Linked DNA regions of Pelodiscus sinensis. The protein of the gene in region 1 interacts with the protein of each later gene in a pairwise test. Links are inferred from orthologs where the notes say so. Each region holds a gene or a part of one and is shown in the gene's direction. Other genes may lie near its edges.

Region 1 (7,488 bases):
CTGTAACATGCCACATGTTTTATAGCGAGAGTGTATCAGATGTCTGGCTTGCTGCTTATACACAATCCCACATCTCGCCAGCTCTGCTCACAGTGATCATGCCAATGCCTACAACTAAAAATAAAGCACCCAGAAACAATCACGCTCAACAGGAATGGGAGGGCTGCAGAGACAAGTGATCAGCTCAAATGAAAGCTGCAGCACAGCTGGCCCCCAACAGCTGCTTTTGCTACATACCTTTCTGGGACTGATTGCTTTGGTTTGCTCTAAGGCAGGGGTGGGCATTTTAATGCCTGCAGGCCACATTTGGCCCGCTATGCCTTTTGATTCAGCTTCCTGCCTGCTGGAGCCCAAGGCTGCTCAAAACAGCAGGTGGTTCCCTCTATGTGCTGCGCACTCCTGGCTGGGACAGAAGGGGAGACTTTGCATGCTGCCCTTGACCCCAGGCCAATCACCACAGCTCCCAATGGCCAGAAACCAACCAATGAGAGCTGTGATAATTGGATGGGGGTGGAGGCAGCATGTGAAGTCCCCATCCACCTTGCCGGAGTGTGCGGCACCTAGAGGGAGCTGCCAGCTGTTCTGAGCAGCCTGGGGCTGCGACATGCAGATAGGCTGCCTTGGGGTCCCTGGTGGGCTGCTGGCTAGAAGCCACCTAAGGTAAGCACCTCCTCAACAGAGCCTGCCTCTGGTACTCCCACCCCCTAATCCCTGCCCCAGGTCACCACCTAGACCCTCTGCAAACCCTACCTCCCCCCGCCCCAGTCACAACTCCCTCCCAGACCCTGCAATCCCTCCTACACCCCTCTACCAGGCCAAAATCCTTTCCTGCACTCTACCTCCTCTGGGACCCTGAACCCTAATCTCCTGCCCCAAGTCACAACCCCCTCCTTCATCCAAACTCTCTCTCAGACCCCTCTCTTGCACCCCACACTCTTCCCCTGAGATCCCTTCTTCACCCAGCCTCTACCCCAGACACCACACCGTCTCTATAGAAATGCAGCCCTTAATCCCGTAACAAAATCTTGGAGTGCCCTCCCCATCCAAAATTATTGCCCACCCCTGCTCTAAGGCCTGGTCCACACTTACAATTTATCAACCTAGCTATATGACTGAGGGGAGTGAAAGATTTGCACTGGATCACTGCATTTAAGATGACCTAGTTCCCAGTGTAGAAGCATTTAGACTGAGGTGTCTGTCCACTTAGGTTATCTCTACTCTTCAACCACTACAGTGGTATAAAGACACTGCTTCAGTGTAAACATTCCCTACAGAGATGGGAGGTTCCACCTCCCTGAGCCGCAGTAGCTTGGTCGATGGAAGAATACTGGGTTCAGGCAACTTATCTATATCTCTAAGGGATGTGGATCTTTCATACTTTGAGCAACACAGCTGGGCAGACCTGGCCTTAGCTACCACAGACCACAGAGCAGGATTAACTACCACAACAGAAAAAGCCCTGTTGCAGTAAGAAGGGATTACACTATACCACAATGACACATCTGCAGCCTTGAAGCTGTGCTGCTGACATGCCAGTAGGCACGGCCATTGTCCCCTTGTCACGGTGAGAGCCAAACACTTCCAAGACAGAGACAAGACATGCAGGGATTGTTAATCTCAGGGCTGAAAGGCTGAAATCCCCATGCAAGCCCCCAGGGCCAAAACACCTATGATCAACGTTTCCTCTAATCTTTTCCAACCATGTGCGGAATACATTTATACGTGCACAGAGGGATGTGCAGATGTGCACCACCAGTAGAAACAAAAAGCCTAGCTGTGGGACTCTGCTAATCACCGGGGGCGTCATTTGAATTTCTGTGCACAGCTTGGCAGTGTCTATGATGGCTGGAGAACAGCTTACACCCAGATGACAAGCATGTGATGCAGTAGTTTCCTCCCCAGCCCTCTTGATGTAGCCTGGCTTGCCATGCAACTACCCACTCAGCCAGTCCCAGCTGCTTTTCTTCCTCAACTGCAGCTGTGGGAAGAAGACTCAAGCTAGTTTCATTCACTTACTCTGTTCTACTCCCACTGCTCCAGGAAGGGGCAATTTGGGCTGTAGGCCTGATGGGTCCCTAGAAAGGTGTCACCTACCTTGCCCAGATCAGAGATTGTTTTTCTCTGTTATACAGCTACTCTTGAGTTTCAGATCCAAATTGGGGGCAAAGGGTGTTCTGGGGAAGGGGATCCACCCACATCACCTGCCCCTCGCAAGTGCTGCTGGGCCAGGGTACATCTGGAGTCATGAAGGCCTTCCCTGGGTAGGAAGGGTCCCTAACCTCCCCTGGACAGCCACCTCACAGACCCAGCCTGTGCTATTTGGTCTGGGGTCCCCACCTGATCTCTGAAGATGAAGTTCCCTAGAAGTGGGGGACCCAAAACAAAGGTCTTAGGAGCAGTAGGTCCCAATTTGAGGGAAGGGGTGCCTTAGGAATGGAGAAATCACATGAGGGGATGTTATGGGGTCAACATGGATACATAAAGGAAGGCAGTCCTTGTGGACATCTCAGGGACCAAGGACCCAATCTGAGAAAGAAAGATGCTTTAAAATAAAATATTGCATGTACCGATGTTGGTTCTTGATCTCTGTGAAATGGGGGAATTAGGGAAAGAAATCTCTATGGAGTAGTCATTGGAGGAGAGTTCTCAGGGGGCCTGTGAGTGCCTGGGTTGCACAGAAGTCCATGCTCTGCTGGTCAGAGGTCCTCCAAAGAAGGCCGCAGTGGGGCAGGAAGTGAACAGAAGAATCCCCAAGAGGTGCTCTAGGAGAATAGGGGGATCTCAAGAGAAAGGACCCTAAAAGATGAGACATGGGGTACTGGGGGAATCGGCGGGCGGGGGGGGGGGGTAGGTGCTGCTCAGGAGGTCCCTGGGAGACAGTCTAGGGTAGAGTGAGAGGGAAGATGCTAGAGGTGCTCTAGGAGGAGGCTGCTGGGAGAGCAGCAGAGGATGCTCTCGAGGGAAGTCCCACTAGGAAGACCCCAGCAGCAGACAGGGACAAACTAGGAAGTCCCCAAATGACGGCACTCTAGGGGGTGTCCCTGGGGGAGGACCCCAGGAGAGGTGCAGGGGAGCACTGGGGGGGGAGGGTGCCTCACAGCAGAGAGAAGCGCTCAGGTGGATTCCTCTAAAGGGAGAGACACTTGGGGATGGATCACTCATAGGAGAGCCCCAGGAAGGGCTACAGGGTGGTGGTGGAAGGGTTCCCTCAAGACGAGGGACGCTCAGGGGAGATGCCCCAAGGAGGAGAGATGCTGGGGGAGGGGGGTAGGAATCCCTGGTGGGAGAACTGCAGAAGGCGGCATCTTGGGACTGGAGGGGATGCCCTGGGGAGGGAGGGGCCCTTTGGGGAGGTCTCTGGGGGGACCCCAGAAAGGGAAGCAGGAGGGGGTGGCTCGAGGGGTGTCGGGGGGGAGGGGCGCTTTGGGGAGGTCTCTGGGGGGGCCCCAGAAAGGGAAGCAGGAGGGGGGGGCTCGAGGAGTGTCGGGGGGGAGGGGCGCTTTGGGGAGGTCTCTGGGGGGGCCCCAGAAAGGGAAGCAGGAGGGGGTGGCTCGAGAGGGGTGTCGGGGGGAGGGGCGCTTTGGGGAGGTCTCTGGGGGGGGCCCAGAAAGGGAAGCAGGAGGGGGTGGCTCGAGGGGTGTCGGGGGGGAGGGGCCCTTTGGGGAGGTCTCTGGGGGGGCCCCAGAAAGGGAAGCAGGAGGGGGTGGCTCGAGGGGTGTCGGGGGGGAGGGGCGCTTTGGGGAGGTCTCTGGGGGGGCCCAGAAAGGGAAGCAGGAGGGGGTGGCTCGAGAGGGGTGTCGGGGGGAGGGGCGCTTTGGGGAGGTCTCTGGGGGGGCCCCAGAAAGGGAAGCAGGAGGGGGGGGCTCGAGAGGGGTGTCGGGGGGAGGGGCGCTTTGGGGAGGTCTCTGGGGGGGCCCCAGAAAGGGAAGCAGGAGGGGGGGCTCGAGAGGGGTGTCGGGGGGAGGGGCGCTTTGGGGAGGTCTCTGGGGGGGATCCCGAGAGGGGAGAGATGTTGGGGGGGCGCCGGGAGGGGCTGTGGGGGTCCCGCCCGAGGGGGCGCTGGGGGACACGGGGGATGCCGGGGGGGGGCCGCACCTGCATCACCACCTCCACCTCGTAGGCGTTGCCCTTGCTGCGCTGCTGGCCGCGGAACTTGGCCCCGCTGTAGAGCAGGGAGGTGGCGACCCCGGGCTGCGCCGTGTTGATGGGGGGCGGCGGCACCAGGCTGGCGGCCCCGCGGCCCCGCGCTCCCCCCGGGCAGCAGCACTCGCTCCGCACCGGCATCTCGGGGGGGTCCCCGGGCGCCAGCGTGTCACGGGCTGCAGGGAGCCGGCCCGGCCGCCTTGCTGACCCGGGCGCTCGCCGGCTGCCCCCGCCGCCTACCTCAGGGCCTCCCGGCGACGCCTCCGCGCGCTCTGATTGGCCCAGCGGGCGTCGCGTCGGGCGGGGCGCCGTTCCCATTGGGCGATGGGCGTCACGTGGGGGCCGCGCTGGCTCCTGGGAATCGTTGTTTCTGTGAGGGCCTTGTGACAGGGCCCTCGGAGGGACAAAAAGCGTTTGTGATGCTGATTGGACGCTGGGCGAGCAAGATGGCGGCGCCCAGAGGCAGAGTGGCTGGGTAACCGGGCCGCGGCGGTGAGGTGGAGGCAGGTGGCTCGCAAGTCGCGTCCGTGCGGCCCCGTAGGGAGTGGGGCCCGGGTCTGTACAGTGGGCTCCGCGGGGGTCTGTCCTTCCCCTCCCGGTCCTATTTGTACCGGCAGGGGGCTCTGGGGGGGGGCGTGATCCCGGCAGGGGGCTCTTGGGGGGGGGGGGCGTGATCCCGGCAGGGGGCTCTGGGGGGGGGCGTGATCCCGGCAGGGGGCTCTTGGGGGGGGAGGGGCCGTGATCCCGGCAGGGGGCTCTTGGGGGGGGGAGGGGCCGTGATCCCGGCAGGGGGCTCTTGGGGGGGGGAGGGGCCGTGATCCCGGCAGGGGGCTCTTGGGGGGGGGAGGGGCCGTGATCCCGGCAGGGGGCTCTTGGGGGGGGGGCGTGATCCCGGCAGGGAACTTTTGGGGGAGGGGCCGTGATCCCGGCAGGGGGCTCTTGGGGGGGGGGCGTGATCCTGGCAGGGGGCTCTTGGGGGGGGGGCCGTGATCCCGGCAGGGAGCTCTTGGGGGGGGGGGGCTAGATGCTGGTAGGCCATCCCAAGGTGTTAGGCGCACCTGTATGTAACAAGTCCAGGCCGTTCCCATCTTGCTGTAGCTCACGGTCTCCCCAGAATGTGGCGCAGTTGCCAGCGGCTGTTCTACGCCGGGCTGCCTCAGGCTCCATGGCTGTGCCCAACACTTCCTGTTGGGGGCCCCAGTCTTTGGCTGCCGTGCATGGTACGGGCATACACGCCACCAACAGGTGAGGACAACGCTGGACAGCAGTCCTGCTGCATGCTCGGCAAATTTCAGCATGGTTATTTCCAATTGCAGGGATGTTTTTCAGTGGTGGAATTGACTAGTTGTAAAAGCCAGCTGTGACCACAGTTTATGAGAGGGATGTGATGCCCCGTCCCCCATTTACAGAGGAGAGCTCTGGTTTGTGGAATGGGCCCCAACTGAACATCTGAAACATCAAGCCCAACAACAAACATTTATTATGTGCAGAGGCAAAAGAAAATGACATCGCTGGCCCAGTGAGCTCAAAATCTAATGCCTCACGCCTCCTGCTGCCAGCATGTGAGCCTGCTGCTCTGCCTGCATACAGCCTCACTGAGTACCTGCAGTTCTATTTTAGGTACTGTTATGAGCTCAATCACCATGGCAGCTGAGTACCTCAAGTTCTTTAATCTACTCCTTCTCACAGCCCCCTTGTAGGGCTAAGCAGTGCTGTGATTTCCCACTTTATACAGGAGATGCGGAAGGACAGAAAACTGGAGGTCACACACAAAGTCTGTGGCAGAGCAGCAAATGAAACCTAGGTCTCCTGAGTCCCTTCACCCCAGTCCATCCTTCCTTAGTCGTAAAGTGGTGCTTTCAACATCTTTCCTCTGTGATTTCAATTGTTTGTATGAGGATGGTGAAATTTGATCCTTTGTTTCTCACAAACTAAGACTCTGAACTTGCAATGAAATGCACATCCTGGAGCCCCATTAAATCAGGACTTGAGGGGGTGAGGGTGTCTTGTTGCAGGATCAAGGCTGTGGGCGCATGCTTGAATAGCCTTAAAATATGGCATTCTTTAAGTCCCTTGATCCTGCAACTGTCTTGTTTCTAGGCAGTCTGCCTTAACTGGGACTCTGGAAACCCAGGGGCCCTGTGTGCACAGTAGATGTAGAAATGGAGCTGCAGTCCAGTAACAGTTGTTAACTCTAGAGATTATGTACATACACCTATGTTGTACTGCCAAGGCAAAGATTTGGAGAGGTTTTGTGTTCTCTGTGTTTTGTGTGGGAAATGGGACCAGGTGTCTGTCTAAATGGCCGGGTCTCTGTGTTAACACAGACTCTGGGAACTGGATCCACAGGGCCAGCCTATAGCTTTCAGTTTGGAATTTATCAGCTGTTGCTCTGCATGCCCTCAGAGAGCCTGTCTTCACGTGTTAATTCATTCCTACATTCCAAAGCCAGAAAGAACCATTGTGATCAGCTAGTCGGGCCTCCTGCATAGTACAGGCCCTAGAAGTCCTTTGAATTCATTTATGTTGCCTGTGGTTTTTGTGCAGGGTGGGCTGTCTGTCAGTGCAGGGATCTAACTGTGTTACATGTGGATGCTGTCAGGAAGTTAGCAGGTGCTGTTCATGCCATTTAGAAGTCTAATGGCTGTGCCTTGCAACAGTGCAGATGCCAAATGTAAATTGCTTCTAAAACTATGACCTGTAGCCCTAAAGGTAGACTTGCTATTTATTGCACCAGACATTCTCCTTGACATAGTGGGTGCAGCATAACGGGAGGTAGACCCTCAATATATTAAATTGTATGCTGTGGTCTACCTGGCATCTACGTGAACTCACTCAGGACATGGGTTTACAGTGTGTTGCGTGCAATGCTCCTGGATCCAGCCAGAGGGCGTTCAGGGCAGTGTGACAGGCTAGCTTGGCACTGTAATTTAGGGGCTATTCTAGATTCAGGTATATCATCAGCTTCCGCCTGAAATCGCACCAGAGGGAGCTGTTTTAAAAGCTGGCTGGATATTGGTGACCTGCCTTAACTACATGGGACCGATAGTACCTGCTGATTAGAGTTGCTGCTTCTCCAGCGGGTGGAAAAGCCATGGCCAGCTGAGCAATGCTCGACAGGTCACATTACTTTTGTTTCCAAGGTAGTGGCTGAAGAGCTGGGCTGATGCAGGGCTAGTTTAATATTCAGCCTGGCAAAGAGGGGCTTGCTGGTAGGGATTGCACCAGCATGTATTCCAGGCCTGTCCTGTTCTCTGGGGCCTCACATCTGTTTAATATTATCATTGGTCATGTTTATTACAGTAGTGCCTACAGGCCACTTGAGAGTGGGCCTCTACTAGCTGA
Region 2 (7,394 bases), on another chromosome or scaffold:
GTTTATCCATTTCCTCAGTCTGCATATCTGCATTTGCTACCTTCTGTTGAGATCGCCTGTTTACTTGAGTCTCTTCCAGCAGCTCTGCCTCTGTTTTCTTTGGAACAGATGCTTTAATGTTCAGAAGATTGGCAGACTTCTCTACAATAGCATTCCTTCTGAGACTATACTTGCAGCTCTAATATTTTCTCTCCACCACTCATTTAATTTGAGGGCAATAAAATCAACTTGTAGCCAATTCTAACATTTTTTCTGCTTCTTTGTGGCCCATCTCATTGTGGATTCCTTATAATGTGTGTCTTTGTCTAAAGATTCACTAACTGTCCCAAACCACATCTCTCCTCTAAACCTTCCCATATAAAATCCCTTCTGTTAGGAAGAGTTTTTTGGCCGTTCTTACAAGTATGGTTGGTTCTCATAGTTCTGCTACTTTTTCTCATTCTGATTTGGTCTATGGCAAGACTTCAGTAAGTGAATCACATATTCTTTCAGTCAGTGAAAATAGAATCTTGGGCACTTGGTCTTCCAGGCTATTGACTTGGAATGTGAAACTCAGGTGGTATGCTGTCCTCATCACAAGACAGTGTTTACAAATCCTGTAGTACCTCCCTCAGCTGTAGGGCTTTGCTCTTCCAGCCCATTCCTAGGGCTGGTTTTTACCCTTTAAGGGACAGTGCGGGAGAGACATCCCATCATAGTTACAAGATAATAAAAAAACTGTGGGAAGATTGGAGTTGTAGATAGAAAGTTTTGGGAAGAGATTAGGGTTATCAAATTAGGGATGTTAGCTATTATTTATTTTAGTAATCATATAGCCACAACAATTTTAGCAGTTACACAGTTATTAAAATACCCTTCCCCTCCCCCCCAGGCTCTGGGCCAGCACCCAGTGTGTTCCCAGCTCCTGGTCCCGCTCCCAGGAAACCCCTTGCCATCCTGGCTTCTGCCTCTGTATCAGAGGTAGCTGTGTGGGGTGGCTGACGGAGCTGGTCCCTGAGAGGAGCCAGTTTAAAAATCATACAGAGGCAGCAGTGCGGGGAGGCAGCAGCCCTTGTCTGTGAGGGGCCAAAGCTCCCTGTGGACAGAGGCTGCTTTGGCATCTTACAGAGCAGCCTCTGTCTGCAGCAAACCCAGGCCCACTGCAGAGAGAGGCAGCAGCCCCTGTTCATTGGGGGCCGAGTTTCCCATGGCAGAGGCTTCTCCAGCATCCCGCCTGTCCTCCCCTTCTACGCCCTGCTGCTGCTGCTACAGAGGCAGCAGCTCAGGTGGAGGAAGGCAGCTTTGTGGAGCTCTTGCTTGTGGAAAGCCAGCTTTTAAGCCAGCTCTCCCCCCGCACGCCAAGCACTGGCTCCCTCCTCCCCACTCCCCACTGCCTTTGTGCAAGGCAGCAAAAGGGGAGAGGCAGCTCTGCAGGAGCTGATATGTGTGGAAAGCCAGCTTGAAATGCTAGCTTCCTGCATATACCAGCTCCTGCCTGCCACCTGTGCTGCTGCTTCTGTGGGAGGCAGTTAGACAAGTAGCTCATTGGGAACCAGCACGCTCAGGGAGCCAACTTAAAAGCCAGCTCCCCATGGGCACCAGCTCCCGCCTCCTCCTTCAGCCTTGCTGCCTCTGATGCAGGAAGTTTGTTGCCTCTGATACAGAAGCAGCAAGCGGGGAGATGAGTGCATGTAGTTGTTAGGATTTACTGATAACCTCACTCTGATCGGTTAATTGTTTAACTGCCTATAAGCTAATATCCCTACATCAAATGAAGCCTTAGGATATGTCTCATTAAAGGGAAATTGAAAGGCTCCAGGCACTTTAATTAAGATTGTATAGACCTGACTGATTTCCCCTTATGTATGGGCACCAGTCTGTCATAATTGAACTCAGCCTTTGGATCCCATGGTGGGATGTGGGCTGTGGGTAGATCCTGTTATGATCTTTAGATCTGGGCTTATAAGAATAACTTCTAGGTGCAGATCCTTGCTGGAAACCTTTTATAGGGACTTGAGATCACACAGTCCACCTGCCCTAGTCCTCAAGACCTGTGCTGAACTTCCTAAACCTCTCCAGTTGCTGACGCTTCTCTGAGATCAAATCCATTTTGGATACTCTGGCCTATAGCTTAACTCTTTGGTGACCATTTGACAGGTAAAATAAGGAACACAAACTTTGTGCATTATTTTCTAAAACCAAGTAACATTCATTCTCAAAGCATACAAGAGTTACAGATCTTTAGGTGAAATAACAAAAACTTATATGCCCTTATGCCTTCTTGTAGTCCTCAGGACATAGTCCATGTATTTAAGTGTAGGGCAGTGGTCAGTGAGTGAGAGAGGGAGTGGAGTAGATTTTGACCTCAACTAAACTTTCTGTCCCTTCTGTAAAGTAATTCATTCATGACTTCAGAGTCCTACTCAGGTGGCTAAAGTCCTAGCCGCTTTTGGAGACAGACTGGGAGAATCAGTTTTTTGCCTTATTGCTCATTTTATCAAATTCATTTTCCCCGTAGTCATTCAGAATTGATGGCCCTCTCATTCAGGGCCAGACACACATACACTTGGGGTATGTCTTCACTACAGTGTTATTTCAAAATAGTTAATTCGAAATAAGTTATTTCAAAATAACATATCTACACACAAAATACATTTCGAAATAGCGCGTCCACACTGAGTGGATGCTGAATCACATTTAAGGCCAAACGGAACCAGGTCCAGCAGGGCATCAGGTCAGGAGTTACTTTGTGTGCCTGCTGCTTGAGGGTATCTGAGGCCTGTGCTTAAAGGGACCCCCCCCCCAACCCGGACAGCCGGTTCTCAGGTTTCCCTGCTTGCTTGCCTACCTCGATGAGGCACAGCAAAGCATTTTGCTTCTGCGTGCTCTGGTTGCCTCACTCGAGACACCACAGCACTCTGCAACGTGGAGCCAGAGCTGCCCTTGGGCACTCTGGTACCTCTTGTGGACGCGTTGCTGCAAGCCTGGCTGCACTTGCTGCAGGCTGCCATCTGGAAGGTCCATCAGGGGGCTGTCAGTATCCAGGAGGCCCTGCGGGAGAGCTTCCACCCTGAGGAGCACTAAGAGCCTCCCTGGTCTGCCCCACTGGGGGCTTGTGCCTCTTTCCTCCCTAATGTCCAATCTAAACCTCCCCTGCTGCACTTTAAGCCCATTACTCCTTGTCCTGTCCTCAGAAACCAAGAGGAACAAATTTTCGCCTTCCTCCTTGTGACACCCTTTTAGATATTTGAAAACCGCAATCATGTCCCCCCTTAATCTTCTTTTTTCCAAACTAAACAAGCCCAGTTCATGAAGCCTGGCTTCATAGGTCATGTTCTCTAAACCTTTAATCATTCTTGTCGCTCTTCCCTGTACCCTTTCCAATTTCTCCACATCTTTCTTGAAATGTTGTGCCCAGAACTGGACACAGTACTCCAGCTGAGGCCTAACTAGTGCAGAGTAGAGCGGCAGAATGACTTCACGAGTTTTGCTTACAACACACCTGTTGATACAACCTAGATTCATATTTGCTTTTTTTGCAACAGCATCACACTGTTGACTCATATTCAACTTGTGGTCCAGTATGACCCCTAGATCCCTTTCCGCCATGCTCTTTCCTAGACAGTCGCTTCCCATCTTGTATGTATGGAACTGATTGTTCCTTCCTAAAGGAACAATATCTTACTTGAGACGGGGTGCAGGATCGGGGAATCCCCGATGCACCGCCACACACCGAGTGCTGAGAGATCTCTCCCCCAGCACTCGTGTTTAAAATGCTACCACGGCTGCGTTTTAAACTTAAAAGTTTAAAGCCTAAGTTGCCCAGGCTTTGGTTTCAGCCTAGGGTGGCAGGACTTAGAGCTCTAGATTTCAGTACCATGTGGTGGTATTTTGGCTTTCTGCTGTGAGCCCCAGCAAGTTTATGGTCCTGATTGGCAGACTCCCTGAAATTCCTGAAAGAACCATTGATTCTAGATTAAATTGTCACACCCAGGAGCCAGAAAGCAAGGGGGAGGCGGGGACCAACTATCCAATAAGCTTTTTGCTTATTCAGTAGGGGTATGTCTACACTACCCTGCTAGTTCGAACTAGCGGGGTAATGTAGGCATACCGCACTTGCAAATGAAGCCCGGGATTTGAATTTCCCGGGCTTCATTTGCATAAGCAGGGAGCCGCTATTTTTAAAACCCTGCTGGTTCGAACCCCGTGCAGCGCGGCTACACGGGGCTCGAACTAGGTAGTTCGAACTAGGATTCCTATTCCGAACTACCGATACACCCCGCGCTGCACGGGGTTCGAACCAGCGGGGTTTTAAAAATGGCGGCTCCCCGCTTATGCAAATGAAGTCCGGGAAATTCAAATCCCGGGCTTCATTTGCAAGTGCGGTATGCCTACATTACCCCGCTAGTTCAAACTAGCGGGGTAGTGTAGACATACCCTAGTAGACTAGTCGCTTACATCCCTAGTCACACTCCAGTACCTCTTTTGCTATGTGGTATGTACAGTTGTCCATAGCATCAGTTTAAAATACATATGCCCATTTTCCTATAGCAATTATTACAGGAGAGTACAAAAAACCATAGATCGAAAAATGAAAAAGAAAGAAAACTATCTCAGTCTTTCACACTAGACATTACTACAGATGAAAAACAAAGTATTGGGAAAAGAGGGCAAGCTAAGCATAAAAACCAATGTTTTTACCAAGATAAGAGTTTTGTTTCTTAAGTTCTATCTGCAACGAGCTTAAAATCTTTTTTTAAGAAACTCTATTTAAACTTGTTTTCAATGTAGTTCCTGGCAAATGAGTGAGCACACTCCTACCTAAATCTGTCTTTATTGACTTTAGACACTTTTAACTATAATTAGATTTCTTTCCTTTCACCCCCATCCTAGCCTATGTTTTTCAAGGATAAACATGTTAAGCTTGAAAAGCTGTTACCACTAACTCTTCTAATCAAATTTGTTTTTTGAATCTCTTGACTTTTCCATCACGGACCTCTTTTTTCATATTTGGTGCTTAAAAATGTACACAATAGACACCCTACAAACATCCCCTTTTAAGTGGAACTATTATTTTTCTTAGCTTTTTAAGTTCCTGAGGTTTTTTTTAATTTTATTGATTTAATTTAGACCATGGATGTTTAAAACCTCGTACATGTATTTTTAAATAAGACTGTTTAAAGTGAGGTATCTTTGAAAAACATTCATTATGTAGAATTATACTGGTACAGCATGCACATCTTCTTAATAAAAATATTTGACACTGAAAGAATGCTTGAATGTGTTACCATAAAAGTAGATTGTTTCCTTGTGGATAATATGAAAATCCCAGTATCCACACACTGTAATACACTCAGTAAATCTGTCATGATTGAATGTAACCTTTATTACATGCAGGCTGGGAGTTAGATCATGCCATTTTTTAGGCACTGCAGACTGAATGTTGATGACATACACATTACAGCACAGGCATGTTCTAGCAGGGCACAGCTGCAGGCAGAAGCTAAAGAACAATTCATTTTTCATGTGTATATCTTTCTTTTGTTTTGACTCTAGATACATGTTTTATGATTAACAGAGACTGCTTTAAAATGCCCGTGTGTAGGTAGCTAAAGCAGACGGCAGAATGCAGGAGAAGCTTAGCTTTACTGTGAAGTCTGAGTGTAACCTAACTAGCTAGAGGATATGCAATTCCTGATTGACAGCAGGACTAGCATTATGCAAATGCTGTAAGAGCTAACAGCAGCTGGGAAACAGTGATCAGGGGCTCTGTTAGGGATCTCTACACACGCCACACTTATCTCTCTAGTTTTTATTTCTCCTTCTGCTGTTGTGATTTATTTCAACAATCAATAAATTACACAAAACATTTGTTGCTTTTTTGACGTTATTACATTTAAAATCTCAGAGCAGTTTCAGTTTTTCAGCTAGAGATCTGTGTGAGAGCTTGTTACTCAAACTAAATTGTGTTATTTTCAGCTGGACAACATGCTTATCTTTAAACCTTTCTGTTTTTAAATCCTGTGCATGTCTGGTCTCTTCATACTAAAGTGTATTTTGCTTGTTTCTTTCTGTCGTCTTCAGTTTGAAGCCTTATGTAGGTCAGGCTTGGCTTAAGCAGATTTCCTGAACCTGCGTCAGCTTAAGCTGAAGGAATTTTAATAAACCCTCCCTTGTAGGCGTGGGCCTAAATGAGACTAGCCTAGTTAAGCCTGATCTTTTTCTGTTTGTGAAAAAGAGCTGAGCAGAGCTAGGGACTGCATGGTGGTTTCAAAAACTGACTCCTTAATTCAGAGATAAGAATGGTTGGAAAGGCCAGATCTTCTAATTTTACCTTGTCTGAAAAGCTTGATTTGCTAAAACTCGTGAAGCCGTATGTTAAAATTCTTGAAGAACATACAAATAAGCATTCAGTAATAGTGGAAAAAAACAAATGCTGGGATATCATAGCCGATAACTACAATGCCATCGGAGTAGATCGCCCTCCTCGTACTGCACAGGGCCTGCGCACGCTGTACAAGAGGCTCAAAGAATATGCCAAACAGGAGCTGTTGCAGCAAAAGGAGACCCATTCAGATTATAAAAGCAGCATTTCTGAGCCAACCAAGAAAGTTGTGGAGATGATTCCACAGATTTCCAGTGTGTGTTTAAGAGACAGGAGCAGTTTACAAAGGTGAGATACATTTTACTTTGTTATTAAATTAAAATTATGGCGCCTCCTACCTACTCTCTAAGGTTTACTCAGTGTCCTAAAGCAAATACCCACAACAGAGCTGAAAATAATTGGAAACAATAGCTTGATACTATTTCCTTTGTTTCATGGTAACTTAACACTGCATGCAATTTTCAGCTGTTACAAAGCCTGTTTCAATGTCTTGTGTCATATTCTAGAAGGTGAGGGTTAAGAGGGAATCAGAAAAATAGTAGCTCAAACCTTAACCCCTCCCTCACCTTTTAGTAGGCAGATTGTTCAATCACTGATACTTTAAATGGAGGATAGCCATCACTTTAATACTGCACTTACCTTGCTGCATATAAAACTATTACCAGTTTACATAAGTGCCATATAAAGTTCAGGAAACCAAGGAGTCTATTTCATATACATGGTCTGTATAATAAATTACTCTTTTAAGCAAATATTGAATATGTTTTAACTCAGTCCAGACCTTAGACACTTTAGTCTCCATATAGTAAAATGCCTTTAACAGTACAAATAAATTTTTATAGATTACCTTTCATTCACTTGCTGACATTTTCTGAGACCAGAGCAAAGCAAATTTCTATATAACTGTAAATAATATGTGTCTTTTATGCTAGGAGGTTTGTAAACATATAGACAGAGATTGTGGAACTACAGAATTAGAAGTTTTATTTGATTGTTCTTTCTTTCTTTCTTTCTTTCTTTCTTTCTTTCT
Region 3 (7,455 bases), on another chromosome or scaffold:
TCAGGGGCGATACTATACCTTTTCATATAAGTCATTTGCTTTCATTGCCCAAACTGTACGATACGTAAAAAGTTAGCAGATTAGTCGACTCCACTCTTGTCCAGTCAAATTTCACTCTCATTTTCACACAGTAGTGCAATTTTGGAGTTGTTGGTACTTCAGGAGAATGTTTAAAACTAAACATACCTGTTTTCATTGTGGAATTGGAGAGGTTTAAATCATTTCATAAGATTTCTGACAGATCATATAACTAACAGTATGGTGGAATAAATAAAAGAGTTATTTAACATAAACTGTTTGATTCAGTTTCACAAAGTTTTCCAAATGATATTTCAGGAGTCAAATAAAGCTATACTATACACTATGCTAGTGAAAACACCACTACCACAGTCAGGCACAAATTTAACCATGACATTGATTCATACTAAATCCTTTTTCCTCAACACACACTGACTGTCACAAACTAAACAGGATACAATTTTTAGTATGATTAGGAATGTAAAATAGTGGTTAAGTGGTTAAATAAAATGTTTAACTGGTTAAACCATTATCCTGTGGGCTGGGCTGTGGGGATGCTGCTCCAGCCAGGCTGGGCCCGCCACACCATGGGCTGCTTCAGCCAAACCAGGCAAAACCCATCAAACCATAGGCTGATGCCTGCTCTGTCTGGACCAGAGCAGCCCCGAGTCACAACATAGTATGGTGGACCCAGTTGGGCTGGAGCAGTCCCTGTTATCCATGTTTTATAATCTGCAACAGAAATACAATAAATGTCCACAGATTCCAAGCAGTCTATATATAGAAATTAAAGTAGTCTATGAATATTTTAAAATGTTAGTAATATTAACAGAAACTTAAATAATCAAGAAGTACAAGTTCCTAAGATTAAGTAACCAAATCTGAAGTACAGGTGCTTTTGTGTGTTCTTAATTTCTTTAAAGTTAAAAGCACCATGGGAGAAGACAGATTTCCAGCGGGGAAAAAATACACGAAGACAGAAAAATAACTAGACCCACAAAACTGAAGTTCAAGATTTGGTAAAGCGTGATGAGACTGATTTTTAAATAGTTAATGATTCCTTCATTTATCAAATACTGTTCAACATTAAGGGTGTGTCTAGACTACAGAGTTTTGTTGACAAAACTATACCTGCGTCTACACTACCGCTGAGTTCTGTCGACATAATGTCGACAGAACTCAGCAGTTTTGTCGATGCTGGTAAACCTCATTTTACGAGGCATAACGCCTTTTGTCGACAGAGTTCTGTCGACAGAAGGTGTTATTGCATCTAGGGTTGTGTCTAGACTACATGGTTTTGTCGACAAAGCAGCTTGCTTTGTCGACAGAACTGAATGTAGTCTAGACGCTCTTTGTCGACAAAAGCTTTGTCGACAAAACTTCTGTAGACAAAAGCCTGTAGTCTAGACGTACCCTTAGATGCAGTCATACAAAAATAATTTTCTCTACAATGCAGATGCCATTAACAGCTTATGTTGAAGTTTAATCACCTCTAAAGACAGCTATTAGCAGACTATACTATATAGCAGTAGTCACAAACTCAATTTACCTTAGGACCAGTATCAGTCCTCATATTCTCCTTGCAGGCGAGTGGTTACCCACTTCTGGCAGGGCTCCAAGGGTCGGGAGGAGTGTCTCCACTCCCTCCTTTTCCCCCCTCTCCCCTTCCCCCGTGCATCTCCCAGCCCCACCTGCTGCCCCAGATGATTTAAAACCTGCTGATGCCCCCTGCCATTACCGACAGTGACATGGGGCTAGAGTGTCTTCCTGCTACTAGCTCCATGCTGTCCCAGTGGCCCAGGGGAGGTTTGTACAGAGCTGTCCCATCCATAGGTGTAAGATGTGAAACTATTAACTCATTTTGATAAACTGACTAGATATCAGTGATGTCAACTCTCCTGATTTTATCTCAAGCCTGCTGATGATTGGGGCTTTTTTTTCCCCACCCTGGAAAGCACATTATGAAAATGAAGCTATATCTGGGAACTTCACTAACTGATGCCTCATGCACCGCTATCAACTATGATCGCTCTGATTTAGTAGATTATGCTTGTTTATTAATACATGGTATTAAAAAACAATCCCAGCTTTCTTTCTTTTTCTTTTCTTTTTGTTTAAGAAAGACTTTTAAGTCTTATGGTTTGTGGAGAAAAGCTACAAAATTTGTCCCAAGTTCAGCCAAAGACCTCAAACACCAGATGCCAAATACAAAGATCCCCAAGTGTATTTTTATCTGTGATTTCAAGAATTAATTCTCTTTTTGGTTGTCTGCAGGGGCCTATTCATGAATTTTGAACTCTTGAATTTAGCAAAACAGTACATGCAAGGTGATTGGGCTCCTGGGCACAAGGGGAGACACTGACAGAAACTAGGATCCTACAAAAGACATAAAAATGAGTCTTCACTCTGACATCTCTGCTCCATGTCCTTCTGCTAACATCTGTACCCTCACACTAGGAATCCCAGCTGCCTCCCTACTGCTAATATCCACATCCTTGCACTGGGATCCCCATCCCCATCCCCACCCAGGGTAACCATAAGCAAAATCCACCAGCCCCACCCTGATGGCTGCAGAAGTGAGTCAGCGTGGCCAGTACAATTTGCATCACAGTGAAGGCCAGGACTATGTGTGTGCGGGGGGCCCGAATGCTGGTGGGAGCCATGTGCAAGGGTGAGCTCCTGTGTGATGCCCACCTCTCCCCACCCAGCAGCCACACAGGTCTGATTAAATAACTTTTTTCAAAGTATTTCACAGGCTAGATTAAGAAAGAACCCAGGCTGCAAATGGCCTCTAGGCTGAGAGTTTGAGACCCATGCTATATAGGATAGCGTGACAAGGAAAACCAATTAAAATGCTGAAATGTAAGCTTTGATGTAAACTAAAATATATTAAATTATTTAAATGCTAAAAATTCAATAGCTTCATCACCCACATTATTCTAGCTAACCTGACAACATACAAGATCTCTTTAGAATGCAGGACAAGAAGGCAGGACAAGAAGTCTACTTCTGAAAACTGAGTTAACATGAAAATCATTGCTGAGCATTCTCTAAAAGACTTGAAGAGCATCACACAATTCAGCATGACTGGCATGCCCTATTTAAGGCTATAACAATGTAGATGTTGTATGTTGGGAACGATGGAGAATGATGGGGGGGATTTTTCACTGTGTCCAAGTAAAGATTTGGTGTTTCACTTTCAATAGCACTAAATTCATTGGGGTTTATTTTTAAAGCACACTGCACATCTTTTCTGTGAAATAACTGATGTGCCTGGGGGTAATTTGCTCACTTTGCAAGAGGAAAACAGAGATTATCTAGAGTTGTTAATATGCTATACAACCCCATATAATCTCTCAGGACTTCCATGGGAGTCCTGCCTGAATAAGAACTACTAGTCTCTGTTTCTGACAGCCACTTTTCACTTTATATGATTTCTCTTTTAATCTAACATACAAGATCGTACCAAGAAGTAGAGATCTAGGTATTGTGTATCCTACATTAAAGCCGAGACAGAGAGAGCAAAGAAAAGTCCCAGAAAGAGTTCCGTCTCCTTGTAGCGCTGCAGAAAGTTGTAACACGTATATTTGAATAACTGTGAGCTTCCAGCCAGGGAATGGAACTACTGATGAAGCTGCGAGGGGAAGAGGAGTAAAAGGAGTAAGCAGTGAGCACGCAGCTCTGGCAGACTCACAGCACGAAGCCGGGGCTGCTCGAGGCCACAGAGAGAAGCTCTGACTGAGGACCCCGCCGTTCTGCCGGAGGCAGGTGACGAGTGACAGCCCCGGACAGCAGTAGCATTATCACAGCGCAGCGAGTGGGGGCCGAGCCCTAAGGCTCTGTCCCATGGTTGCCCCCGAGAGCAGCTATAGATGCGCAGGGGCCCGCGCGAGGTACCTGCGGGTGCGGGGGCGCTCGCCCCCCGGGGCTCCGCGGCTGCGTTTGCTCCTCCACGATTTTCTGCTTCAGTTTCTTGAACATGGCGACGGCAGCCCCCGAGGGTCCCGGGGAGGAGGGGGGAGCCGAGGGGGACACGGGGAGTCGCCCCCACTGCCGATCCCCCCCCTGTGGCTCCGGGGCGGGGCGTCCCTTTCCCTCTCCACTCTCCCGGCGGCCCGGGGCTCACGGGGGGTTGGGAGCCGGGAAACGCTCCCGGAATCAGCCAGCGCCGCAGCGGTTTCCGGGATCCCCCACCCCGGCAGGTGAACAAAGAGCCACTGCGCCTGCGCGGCCAACGTGGAACTGAGACGAGAGGACGCTATGGCGAGTAGCGAGGCTCAAACCGCCGCCAGCCCTGCGAGTGCGATTCCCAGAAGAGACTGGCGGCTGGGCCGGGCCGTGCCCGGCAATGGGCGAAAGGCAGAGGGAGCCGCTGAGCAGCTCAGTCCCCTCTGCCTGGAGCAACGCCCTGCACGTGCCTTTTTAGAGAACGGGTTTACCTGATCCCCTAGGAGACTCTTCACCACGTGAGACTTAATCCGCCTTTTCCGTCTCCAGCTTCTAGGACAATGGGCAGCTCGCCCCGCGGACGCCTCCACCCGCCGCCGCACCACTCACCTTCTCGACAGGCGACCACCACTCCGCCCAGTAGGTTCCTGTTTGTACCGCAAGAACATAGGGGTCCGTCAGTTTTTTGTTGAAAATGAGAAATAGGCAAAGGAAACTGATGCTCTAGAAATAGTTATAAGAGGGGAATCGGGTCCGCGGCACTTGAACATTCCTCTGTTGCCAGTTCAGAGTGTGGCTCATCTTTAGCGCACAAATTTTGGCCACACGTGTGTAGAGTGAGAGAAGGACATTCCCCCAGTTACTCTCTTTCCAGTATATGATGCCTAAATGTCTCGTGCTCTGTGCCTAATTGATACAAGAAACATTTTGTTTCCTGTCAGTCAGCAATAATCAGGTGATGATTCCTAGGGATGATAATTGGTTAACCAGTAAGCATACGTACTGGTGTGCTTAACTGTTAACCTGTCCTTGCAGGTGAACTCAAGCGATGGCCAACCATACTGGGCCATAACAGCCCCAGGTTCAGATGAGCCAGAGAGCTGGGTGGTGGGGCCTCAAATCAAAATAGTTAACCACTGAAATTTATGCACATGATTAAAGCTAAAACTGTGAGGTGTCCCATGTACATTAGTGCAACTACTTATGTGAGTAAAATTTCTGCTCAAATGCATAATGGGATGAGGGCCTTATTCCTTAAGCACTACTCAGGACAAATGTCCATGAAATATTTTGTATCTACTAAAGTTACAAGTGACATCTATAATTAAAATAAAATAACTTAGCAAAACTCCCACCCCTTTTCTTTACAGTTTATTTTACCTATTTGATAGCATTTTGTGTTCGGTTAGTTCCACTGTTTCCCCACATAGTCTATCAATTTCTCTCTCATTGACTCCTATAAACACTTTTAGGAGACAGAAAAAAAGACTTCTTATTTTTAAAAAAGAAATTCCAGGATGTGTGCTGTATGAGAAACTGGACTTTTCAAAATCAGTCAATTTAAACATATTGGCTGTGTCTAGACTGGCAAGTTTTTCCGGAAAATCAGCAGCTTTTGCGGAAAAACTTGCCAGCTGTCTACACTGGCCACTTGAATTTCTGGAAAAGCACTGACAATCTCATGTAAAATAATCAGTGCTTTTCCGGAAAAACTATGCTGCTCCCGTTCGGGCAAAAGTCTTTTTCCGAAAGACTTTTGAGCAAAAGGGCCAGTGTAGCCAGCATAGTGCTGTTTTCCGCAAAAAAGCCCCGATCGTGAAAAAGGCGATCAGGGCTTTTTTGCGGAAAACCGCGTCTAGATTGGCCACGGACGCTTTTCTGCAAAAAGTGCTTTTGCGGAAAAGCATCCTGCCAATCTAGACGCGCTTTTCCGAAAATGCTTTTAACGGAAAACTTTTCCATTAAATCATTTTCGGAAATTCATGCCAGTCTAGACGTAGCCATTCAAGTTGGCATTATCACTTTAAATCAAGAAACAGGTACATTTATTGTTAGAAGTATAGAAGACTGGCCATGCTAGGTCAGGTCATCTAGCCCAATAGTCTGTTTTCAGCAACAGCCAATGCCAGGTGCTTCAGAGGGAATGAATGGAACAGGTAATCAATCATCAAGTGATCCGTCCCCTGTCACCCATTCCCAGTTTCTGGCAAACAGAGGCTAGACACACCTTCCTTAACTGTCTCATCCTTCAGGAGCAAGCCTGGGGCTAGACATGGGCACAGCGGGGAGGCAGGACCCTGGGGGCTCTGGCAGGAGGGGGGATTGTTCCTGGCCCAGCCTGGTTGTTCTGCCAGCTCCTCCTTGGGGGGTGCCCTGTGCGGCCTGCTGGCCCCGAGCTCCCCTGCAGGAGGATCAGGGGGTGGTGGTGGCTCCTGTCTGGGCTCCCCGGGGGCCCCATGGGAAGCAGCTACAGCTCTCTGCTCCGCCACCTGCTGCCAGGCTCCAGATCCCACATCCTCCTGCTCTGGTTACCGGGCCCTACCAGTGGGCAGCTGTGCCTTGGTGGGGGACGGCCACAGAGGGCACTGAGTAAGCTCTGTTGCTCCTCCATGCCCATACTTCCCATCCTGCTGCTTCCAGCCCCACTTCTGCTTCCGGCTCTCGGGCCCTGCCGTTCTGTGACCCAGTGGGAAACCACCACTGCCACCTGTCCTGGGACAGCGGCGTGGCCTAAGACAGGTGGTGGCGGTTCCCTGCTGGGTTATGGAGCCATGGGGCCCAGTAGCCAAAAGCAGAAGCAGAGCTGGAGGCAGCTGGATGGGAAGAGGTAGGGATGGAGGAGCCAGCAGAGCTCACTGAGCACCCAGTGGCCGCTGCCTGCCCCAGCCAGTGGCCTGAAGGCCCTGCGCCCATCCTGGTCACATTGCCTGAGGGCCCTGCATTCAACCTGTGGCCCCTGCAGCTGCCCCAGAATCCCCATGACAGGATGAGTATAGCGGCCAAATGGAGGAGGGTGGCAAGCATAGCAAGTAGGTGGCACAGTCCCTTAGTATCTTTTATTGGACCAACTTCTGAAATTGAGAGAGACAAGCTTTTGAGCTACACAGATCTCTTCTTTAGGTCTGGGAAACAAATATCACAGCCACGTTAATCAGCCACTTCACCTTGAATGGTCCCTTGAAACGTGTGAAATATTTACCTTTTCTAGCTTATTTAACTGTGACATGCTGATTATTTTTCCAATACCTTTAAAGTTTGTCTCTTATTGGACCAATTTATGTTGGTGAGAAGGACATTACGTAACACACTTAGTCTAATATTCGTGGACATGATTATAAGGATGTGTGTTTGTAGGATTGGGACCTAGATGTGCAGATTGATAATTACATTTTAAACGGATATCTGTATATTTTTATTTATTTTTATTTGCTTATAAGATCTGAGTTCCAGATTTAATAATTATCCTACTACTCCTGACACTGCTATCCC
Region 4 (7,740 bases), on another chromosome or scaffold:
AAAACCTTATTTGCATGAGTAATCTATACTCCTACAAATAATCCCATTGATTTTTCACTCGGCAAAGATTTATAGGATTGGGTTCAAAGCAATGCTCTCTGTAAGCTATGCTTTTGTGCGGCTGCTCAGGAGACATTCAAATGCCGCCCAGCTGATTAGCAGAGTGCCCACACCTAGGTTTTGTGGTTTTATTTTGTTGGCCCTGTGGTGCACGTTTACACAAAATTTATTCTATATGTGGATGGAAAAAATCGTCCCATGGATGGGAAAATATGAGGGGGAACTTTAGTCCATAGGTTTGTAGCTCACAAAGGGTAATGTCAGTGACTGATTCATTTGTATCTTTGCTGATATTCAGAATTTTCACTCCATTTTAAAGGTGTTCTTGACAAACGGCAAAGGTACTCTGGTATTTTTTCCACTGCATGATTGATTTTAAGCAAGTGGGGAAAACAACTTTGACACTGATAAAGCTCGTTATGTTTTACCTCTTGTCCATTTACCCACATCCAGGGCTGCCCTTACCATGAGGTGAATTGAGGCAGCCACCTCAGGTGCCCGATTGGGAGGAGGGGGCGGGGTGCCACTAGGACCCAGAAAGAAGAAAATTGTGTTTGCTGTTGTCCTAAGTGAGGGGAATGGGGGTGTCATTTGAGCTCCCCGCCTCAGGTGCCAAAATGTTGTGGGCCAGCCTTGCCTGCATCTTAACTTAGTTATTTCCTAGCTATGGGTTTAATATAAATCTGGATAAAAGCTGAGTTATCAGAACTGGGGTGGGAATTTATGCCTATTGCAAGGATTTTGCCCATGAGAGTAACTGGATCAACACGTATGGTACGTTGATCATGTGTGTCATGTGGCGTGATCCTTTGTCTGACTACAAGTATCTGAAACGCCAGAGAAAAAACAGCTTGGGCTTGAGAAAGGAGCAGTTGTGGTTGCTGAAGGGCAATCCCCTTTCTTCCTAATAAAACCACACAAAATTTCCCCTGGGAGCTACCAAAGTTTACGGGCTCCCAATTTCAAGGGATCTATGGGGAAAACAAGAGCATACTCGGATTCCTCAAAGGATGGCTTAAGCCAATGACTCCATGACTCCAAACATCTAAGTTCTTGAGCATTGTTTATGGCCCTCCCCAAACAAGTGCCTAGAACCTCATCCAGCATAGGATAGTGCTGCCAGGATCCTGCTATGCTCATATTGTCCTCTGCACGGGGACTTACAGGGGCATTGTATAAACTCACTCTTGTGATTCCAGGGTACTTGCAATTATTTTAAAGGGAGACAATAGAACTGGAGACTTTGTGGCCAAAGGGGAGGAAAAACAAATAGGAGGAGATTTAAGGGAGAAGAGAACTTTTCATTTGTGCTTCAGCACCATCCAGAACAGTTTCAGAGGGGGAAGCATGTTAGGCTGTTGTAGCAAAAACAAGGAGTCCTGTGGCACCTTTTAAAGACTAACAGATTTATTTGACCACGAGTTTTCATGGACCAAAGCCCATTTTGTCAGACGCATAAAGTGGAATCTTCAGTTTGGCAGGGATATACGGCTACATGCAAAGTTGGGAATAGGTCACATCCACCCATGGCCTTGTTAGCATCGGGTCTTCACATAGTAATAGAGACTGTTTTAGCAAAAACCTCTGCATGTATCTGTAAATCCCTGCCAAACTGAAGATTCCACTTCATGCATCTGACAAGGTGAGCTTCAGCCTATGCTCAAATAAATTTGTCCGTCTGTAAGGTGTCTCAGGACTCTTTGTTCTGGATAAAAAAGATACAATACAGGCCTTTTCTCCAGAGTCTTAGGGTCGTCAAAATAGTGAAATACAGTGAAAACTTTTTTTTTTTTTTTAGCAATCACAAATCCCTGTTGTCTTCCTGCCTCTGCAATCAAGAGTGGTTTTTTTTTGTTTGTTGGCTTTTCTCCTAAAAAAAGAGAATTGTATCTCTTGAATGGCTTTGTTTTATGAAAAACAGTACTGCTGGTGAATCAAATGTTTCCTGTTTATCAGTACACATCAACCCGAGTATTATTTGCATGCACAGAGCACTATTATACTGTTTGATTTACGCAACATTGTTCTCTGAAATTGCTGATGCTGTGCTAAATTTCCTTGCTTTTTCAAGTGATGGAATAATAAGAAGGAACTCTGTGGTGCAGGGGGAGGAGGAAGGAGGAGAACGAGTTCCAGAGCGAAACTAACCAAGCCCTGTTATATGCAGCTTTGGAATTCTCACTGTCTCTGAACTCAGAACCGATTCCAATAGGTCTCTACGTCTCCTGCTTGCCACATGCGAAGGGCTGCCTTCTCCGGGGGGAACAGCATGTCCCACCTTCTCCCCTCTGTTCTCCTTACTCTTCCCCCAAGAAAAACCGCACATGCACACAGGAGCGTAGCTGTTGGCTTTGTGTAATTAGGAATTTCCCAGTTCTGCCCTACCCTCATCCCCCCCACCATTAGTCACTTGTTCCACTTCCATTTCCTGTGCCTATGGGTGCTAAGGTTGGTGAGATTTGTTCTTCATTTTTTCCACTCACGTGTAGATGTTTCAAATCTCAAACAGGTAGCTTCAGACAATCCTCTCTTACTTGTAAACAGCCTAGCAGAAGAATGTCCCCTATTTTCCCTCCTCAAAGTGACACCCAGAGCCGTAGTCCTGGGTTGAACAACCCCAAGTTCTACTGAAGGTACAATACATCACAACCCTACAGAGCCATAAACAAGCTTCAAACCACTAGGAAAAAACAGGTTGCCAGCTTCCTAAGGGAATTCATGTCCTCTAGCCTTGAAGAGGCCTGAAATACTGACCTTAAATGTATCTATTTTTAGGTGGAAGGGGGAGCTATTTTAGTTCACCTTCAGCACTTCTCTGTGAGCGTTGCACAGAGGATCGTTCTAAGTGAGTAGTCTGGCTTTACAGGCGAGCTCTGACAAAGAGTCCCAATAACTGTTTGTAAAAATACATAAAATAATGAGACTAGTTCTTCTGTGACCTGCTGGCATAGTGAGAACAGTGCAGTGGTGCTGAGGAGAATTTATCAGCACCAATTTGAAATGCCTTCCATTGAGTAATGCCGTTCTCTTATAGGCACGCTTCCCCATTCTGTTCTAGACCTCTTGTGATGGAACGTCCGGACGTGTATAGAATTACACACACACCCCTCCTGTGTACGTCTTCACCATCAATGTCTTCGTCTACCTCCAGTTTATGATAATTTTAAGTCCACATTTGCAATCAAACAACAGAAAACACCCTTCAAACGACCTTCCATTGTTAAAGTAACCCCTCTCGAAGCACAGACTTGCCTGAGCAGCCTCGCGGCCAGCACCCTGGCTTGCTTGAACAAGGAGATCTGGATTTTTGTTCCCGGCTCAGTCATTCACATGCTACATCACTTCCCCTCTGTGCTGCTCTTTCTCTTTCTTACAAGCATTTCTCCAACCCCACTGCCACACACATCCTTTCTTTTCACTTTGCTCTCACTAACTCTCCAAGACAAGCAGTGCCTCACAAGTTGTACAAGGTATGATTGTACAGGATTCAATTCCCTCTTGGGTCACAGACTATCTCAGTGACCCTGAGAAAGATACAAAACTGTAAGGAACCCCAAGAAATCATTAAATCTAATTCCCTGCACTCCTGGCAGAACCAAGCACCATCTAGGCCATCCCTGACAGGTGTTTAACTGGCTCTTGAAAATCTCCAAGGATGGAGATTCTACAGCCTCCCTGAGCAATTTATTCCAGTGCTTAACCACCACCCTCCTTGTAACACCCTTTGAGGTACTTGAAAGCTGTTACCATGTCCCCTCTCAGTCCTTTCTGTTCCAAACTAAATAAACCCAATTCTTTCAGTCTTTTCTCATAGGTTGTTTTTTTCTAGACCTTTATTCATTTTTGTTGTTCTTCTCTGGACCTTTTCCAGTTTGCCCACATCTTTCCTGAAATGTAGCTCCCAGAACTGGCCATAGAACTCCAGTTAAGGCCTAATCAGGGCAGAGTAGAGCGGAAGAATGACTTCTTACGTCTTGCTTACAATGCTCCTGTTAATACACCTCAGAATGATGTTAATGATTATAAGTAACTTAGCTTATCTAAGACAGTGAAATGCTCATCCATAATGGTGATGGGGGAGGGGTGGGAATTGTTTCTTGATGCCACCTCGGGTGATCAGCTAGCCCCTGAGCATGTGAGTAAGAACCAGCCAGCCCAATATATGAGCATCTTCTCTTGATTGCTCTCAATGCTGCCTTTGAGCACTGACCACCCCATCCAGGGTCCCATCTGCAGTTGAGGCCAGATCTGATGTTTCAGGGGGAGGAGGAAACCCCAGAATTACTGTCTTCTCAGATCTGAACTATATGGTGACTCCCCTGTAGTTCTGGGTCCTAAACATTTTTCAGTCTGGGTCCACTTCAGTTACTTAGCAACATCTGCAATAACTTGGTATTGGTGACTTGGTAAGGAAAAGTTTCTTTAAAAAACTACGTATATGCTTCCCTGAGGAGTCGATGGGACGGTGGTAAAGGTGAAAGAAAGCATGCATTTAACTACATACATGGATGACACTCAGGTTTTTGGGTTTTGTTTGTTTTTAAATCAGGGTCATAGAGCTGCTGACACATCCCTTACAAGTGTAATCTGTGCTTCAGGGAGGCTATTTTGTAGCGTTTGCATAAAACCGATCACATGCTGGGAAAGAAACAGGCACAAACGAAAGGCTCTCAGGATGCACTGTGCAGCTATTGCTGCAGCCTGAATTTCTTCCTTTGGTGGTATCTGAATGGAATACTCTAAATCAAGGGGTACGTGTCAATCTAAACCCTGAGGCCCAGCTATTTAATATATGGCTGTTACAGAGGCAGCTACTAGCCCAGAGCTAGAGGCCAGTCAAGAGGTAAGTGAAGCTTTTGACTTCTAGTACTATCCTTCCCTCCCTCATGTGTGTGGGGGGTGGATGAGCGGGGGTTTCCATTTGACAGCGTTACTATTCTATTTGTTCACGTTCTTATACTGCACTCATCACTTAGACATCCGCAGTTTTTCCCAGTCTGGCACTCTTGTCATGGGCAAGCGTGTTTTGGGGCCTTCCTTTGAACACATACTGACAGAGTTGGGTCTGAATTCCTTCAAGACAGAAGTCCATCAAAGATTATTCATCTTGGCTGGAGATTTGAGGCAAAAGGGCCAGTAGTTCCCATTAAAAATATGAAGAACGCAATGTCTCTGAAGTGCACCATTTCCTCCCCACCAAAAAACAAAATAAGGACGCTCAAATGATATGGAGAGGATTTTACCTGCCTTCACAGACTGCTTTACAGCAGTCCAAATTCTTAGGCTTGTCAGAATTCGATTTTTCTTGAGGGGTTTGTCATTCATGTTTGATTTTTAGAATATTTTCCAATTATAGAATTAAATGTTCAGAATCATGGAAGGGAAGTCAGACAATTATTATATTTTTTTTACTATCAGTAAAATCATTTTCCTTCATTAGTGTACATTTGAGAAATGTTTATTTCACCAATAAAAATCAAATCCTTCCAAGCCTAGATATGGTCAGACCAAAAGGCCCGAGAGTACCTCCCTCTAGACATTCTCTGAAAAACTGAAATTGAGCCAAGTCAAGGATTCCCAGAAGGGAATACTGGTAGCTCAGTCAACCATATAGATGTCTCCATGGGATGTACTGTCCCTTTGACAGTTTCCCTGAAAGTTTCAAAGCTATATTAACTGGATTTGGTTGTTCAATAGCTATTTGTGGCATTTATAAATCAGTTTTCCTGGTAGCCATCTCATCTGTTCAAAGCTAAAAGCTTTGTCTTGACAACTCCACTGTTTTTTGTGTGTGTGTGTTTTGGTTTGTTTGTTTGTTTTGTGTGTGTTGGTTTTTTTGTTTGTTTTGTTTGTTTTGTTTTGCATGCCCAGAATGCCCCTTTTGTATCCTTCCAGAAAGATCCAATTGTACTGTTGAGGTAAAACATGACATTCCAAAAGACAGAAAAAATATTAGGCACAGCAAGATGTCTTGTAACTGACTTGGCTGACTGAATGCTTCTTCTGAGATGCCATTCAAGGTGAATAAATGGGTCTCCCTATGAATTTTATCGATAGTCTTTGTTTTAAGGTTTAATTGAGGTACTCTGGGATGTAGACACCTCTCCATTGGATTGGAAAAGTTGCTTTGTATACGTCACTGAATAAACATCAGATGGTGAGAGTTTTCAATGGCTAGTGATTTTAGTAGGACAGTTGTCAGAGACATAAATGTTATTTCCCATTACTAACATCCATTCTAGGTCTTGTTAGCTGTGCATCATGCCATGTTACTTGATGGTGCAGTTTTTTTGATGGCTACGGAAGCCACCTAGAAAGAACTATCACTGCAACAGGGCGAAAGATCTGGTTTTCTGCAAAAACCTCACTGTCTTCAAAACTCACATCAATACCAGCCAGTTAAATCTGGGATGAATAAGACCCATCCGTTCAGAGTAGTGATGAAATAATCCAAAATGTGGTGACTCCTCTCGTTTGCACCTAAAACATTTGGATTCAAGGGTACTGTGGCGGGGTAGCCCCGCCCCTCCCGAAAGCCGCCGGCACGCCGCGGAAAGGGGGGGAGGACTCACCCCCCGGGACGGCACAGCCCGCCGCCCGCGGCTTCAGCGCAGGGAAGCCGGCGCACCGGCCGGGGAACGAGCCGGGGCGGGCGGGGCCGAGAGGAGCCGCCGGGACGCCGCAAGCATAGCAGGGGGGCTCACCCCCCGGAGCGGCACAGACCGCCGAGCAGGGGCGAGAACGGGGGGGCCGGCACCCCGGCCGCGTGACGAGCCGGGGCCGGCAGATAGCGCCGGAAGAGGACGGGGGCGGGGTGACGTCAGGGTGACGTCACATGACGCCCGGCCCGGGGAGGGGCCGCAGGCAGATGAAGGCACGGACGTCATCTGCCTGCGACCGGCGGGCCATTCAAAAGCGGCCGGGAGCCAGGCAAGCGGGGGAGAGGCCGAGGAGACGCTTCCCCCGCAAGGACCAGAGAGTGTAAGCTGGTGTTGGAGGCCCTGGGTGGGGGCCGAGGGAGCACCCAGGTGAACCGATTGGTTCCGGGGGAAGAAGTGGCCCAGGGCAGGGACGTGGACCCTGAGAGCAGGGGAGTTTAGGGGTCTCGACCCCCCCTGCTAGATGGGGAGTCTTTCCCTGACCTTAGGGCCCTGGGCTGGGGTCCAGAGCGAGGGTGGGCCCGGACCCCCTTCCCCCAACCGCCGTGGGGCACGCACAGAGTGAGTCGCGTGGAGTGGCAGACGACTTTTGGTAACTGAGGGGGCGGACTCAAGCCCCTCTGGGGGTCAATCCCCTACACGTGGTGGAGAATGTGGGTACGACAGGCCCCGAAACGGGGGTCTGGATGGGGTAAGAGAAATTAACGAGGTGTCGATTAGCAGGACACGATGGAAGCAAACAAGATCTTGGAATGGTGGACGGAGACTCAGAAAGTGCAGCAGCAGCAACAAATGCAAGCGCTACAACAGCTCCTCAACCAGTTCCAGGAACGGCAGGAGCAAATGGCGCGAGGGACACCGGTGACGGTACCCGGGGCAGCTGGAGGGCCCGGAGGGGGAGAGGGGGTCGGCACCCAACTACCTATACGCCTCACGAAATTGGGGCCGGACGACGACCCAGAGGCATTTTTGGTGACGTTCGAGAGGGTGGCCACCGCTGCGAAATGGCCACCAGAACATT

What was found.
Region 2: the proteins of ATPAF2 (region 1) and FSBP interact in binary tests that used the Homo sapiens proteins (3 or more experiments, as listed by UniProt). The two-hybrid records come from large-scale screens. The link is inferred for Pelodiscus sinensis from reciprocal best matches to the Homo sapiens genes ATPAF2 and FSBP.
Region 3: the proteins of ATPAF2 (region 1) and LRRFIP2 interact in binary tests that used the Homo sapiens proteins (3 or more experiments, as listed by UniProt). The two-hybrid records come from large-scale screens. The link is inferred for Pelodiscus sinensis from reciprocal best matches to the Homo sapiens genes ATPAF2 and LRRFIP2.
Region 4: the proteins of ATPAF2 (region 1) and PAK5 interact in binary tests that used the Homo sapiens proteins (3 or more experiments, as listed by UniProt). The two-hybrid records come from large-scale screens. The link is inferred for Pelodiscus sinensis from reciprocal best matches to the Homo sapiens genes ATPAF2 and PAK5.

What each region holds. Positions count from the first base shown.
Region 1 is NC_134726.1:33,122,719-33,130,206, forward strand, and holds the start of ATPAF2 (ATP synthase mitochondrial F1 complex assembly factor 2), read left to right. Parts: upstream 1-4,488; 5' UTR 4,489-4,646; exon of another isoform or gene 4,647-4,698; intron 4,699-5,241; 5' UTR 5,242-5,258; coding exon 5,259-5,388; intron 5,389-5,461; exon of another isoform or gene 5,462-5,678; coding exon of another isoform or gene 5,679-5,763; intron 5,764-7,488. Other genes in the region: GID4 (glucose-induced degradation protein 4 homolog), read right to left, coding at 4,096-4,284. UniProt on the Homo sapiens protein: Plays a role in the assembly of the F1 component of the mitochondrial ATP synthase (ATPase).
Region 2 is NC_134712.1:40,533,068-40,540,461, forward strand, and holds the start of FSBP (fibrinogen silencer-binding protein), read left to right. Parts: upstream 1-4,386; 5' UTR 4,387-6,281; coding exon 6,282-6,652; intron 6,653-7,394. UniProt on the Homo sapiens protein: Transcriptional repressor that down-regulates the expression of the fibrinogen gamma chain. Represses transcription of GSK3B gene promoter via its interaction with APBA1.
Region 3 is NC_134712.1:173,017,380-173,024,834, forward strand, and holds the start of LRRFIP2 (leucine-rich repeat flightless-interacting protein 2), read left to right. Parts: upstream 1-4,455; 5' UTR 4,456-4,605; exon of another isoform or gene 4,606-4,872; intron 4,873-7,455. Other genes in the region: GOLGA4 (golgin subfamily A member 4), read right to left, coding at 3,916-3,999. UniProt on the Homo sapiens protein: May function as activator of the canonical Wnt signaling pathway, in association with DVL3, upstream of CTNNB1/beta-catenin.
Region 4 is NC_134713.1:190,345,287-190,353,026, forward strand, and holds the start of PAK5 (serine/threonine-protein kinase PAK 5), read left to right. Parts: upstream 1-4,732; 5' UTR 4,733-4,852; coding exon 4,853-4,903; intron 4,904-7,740.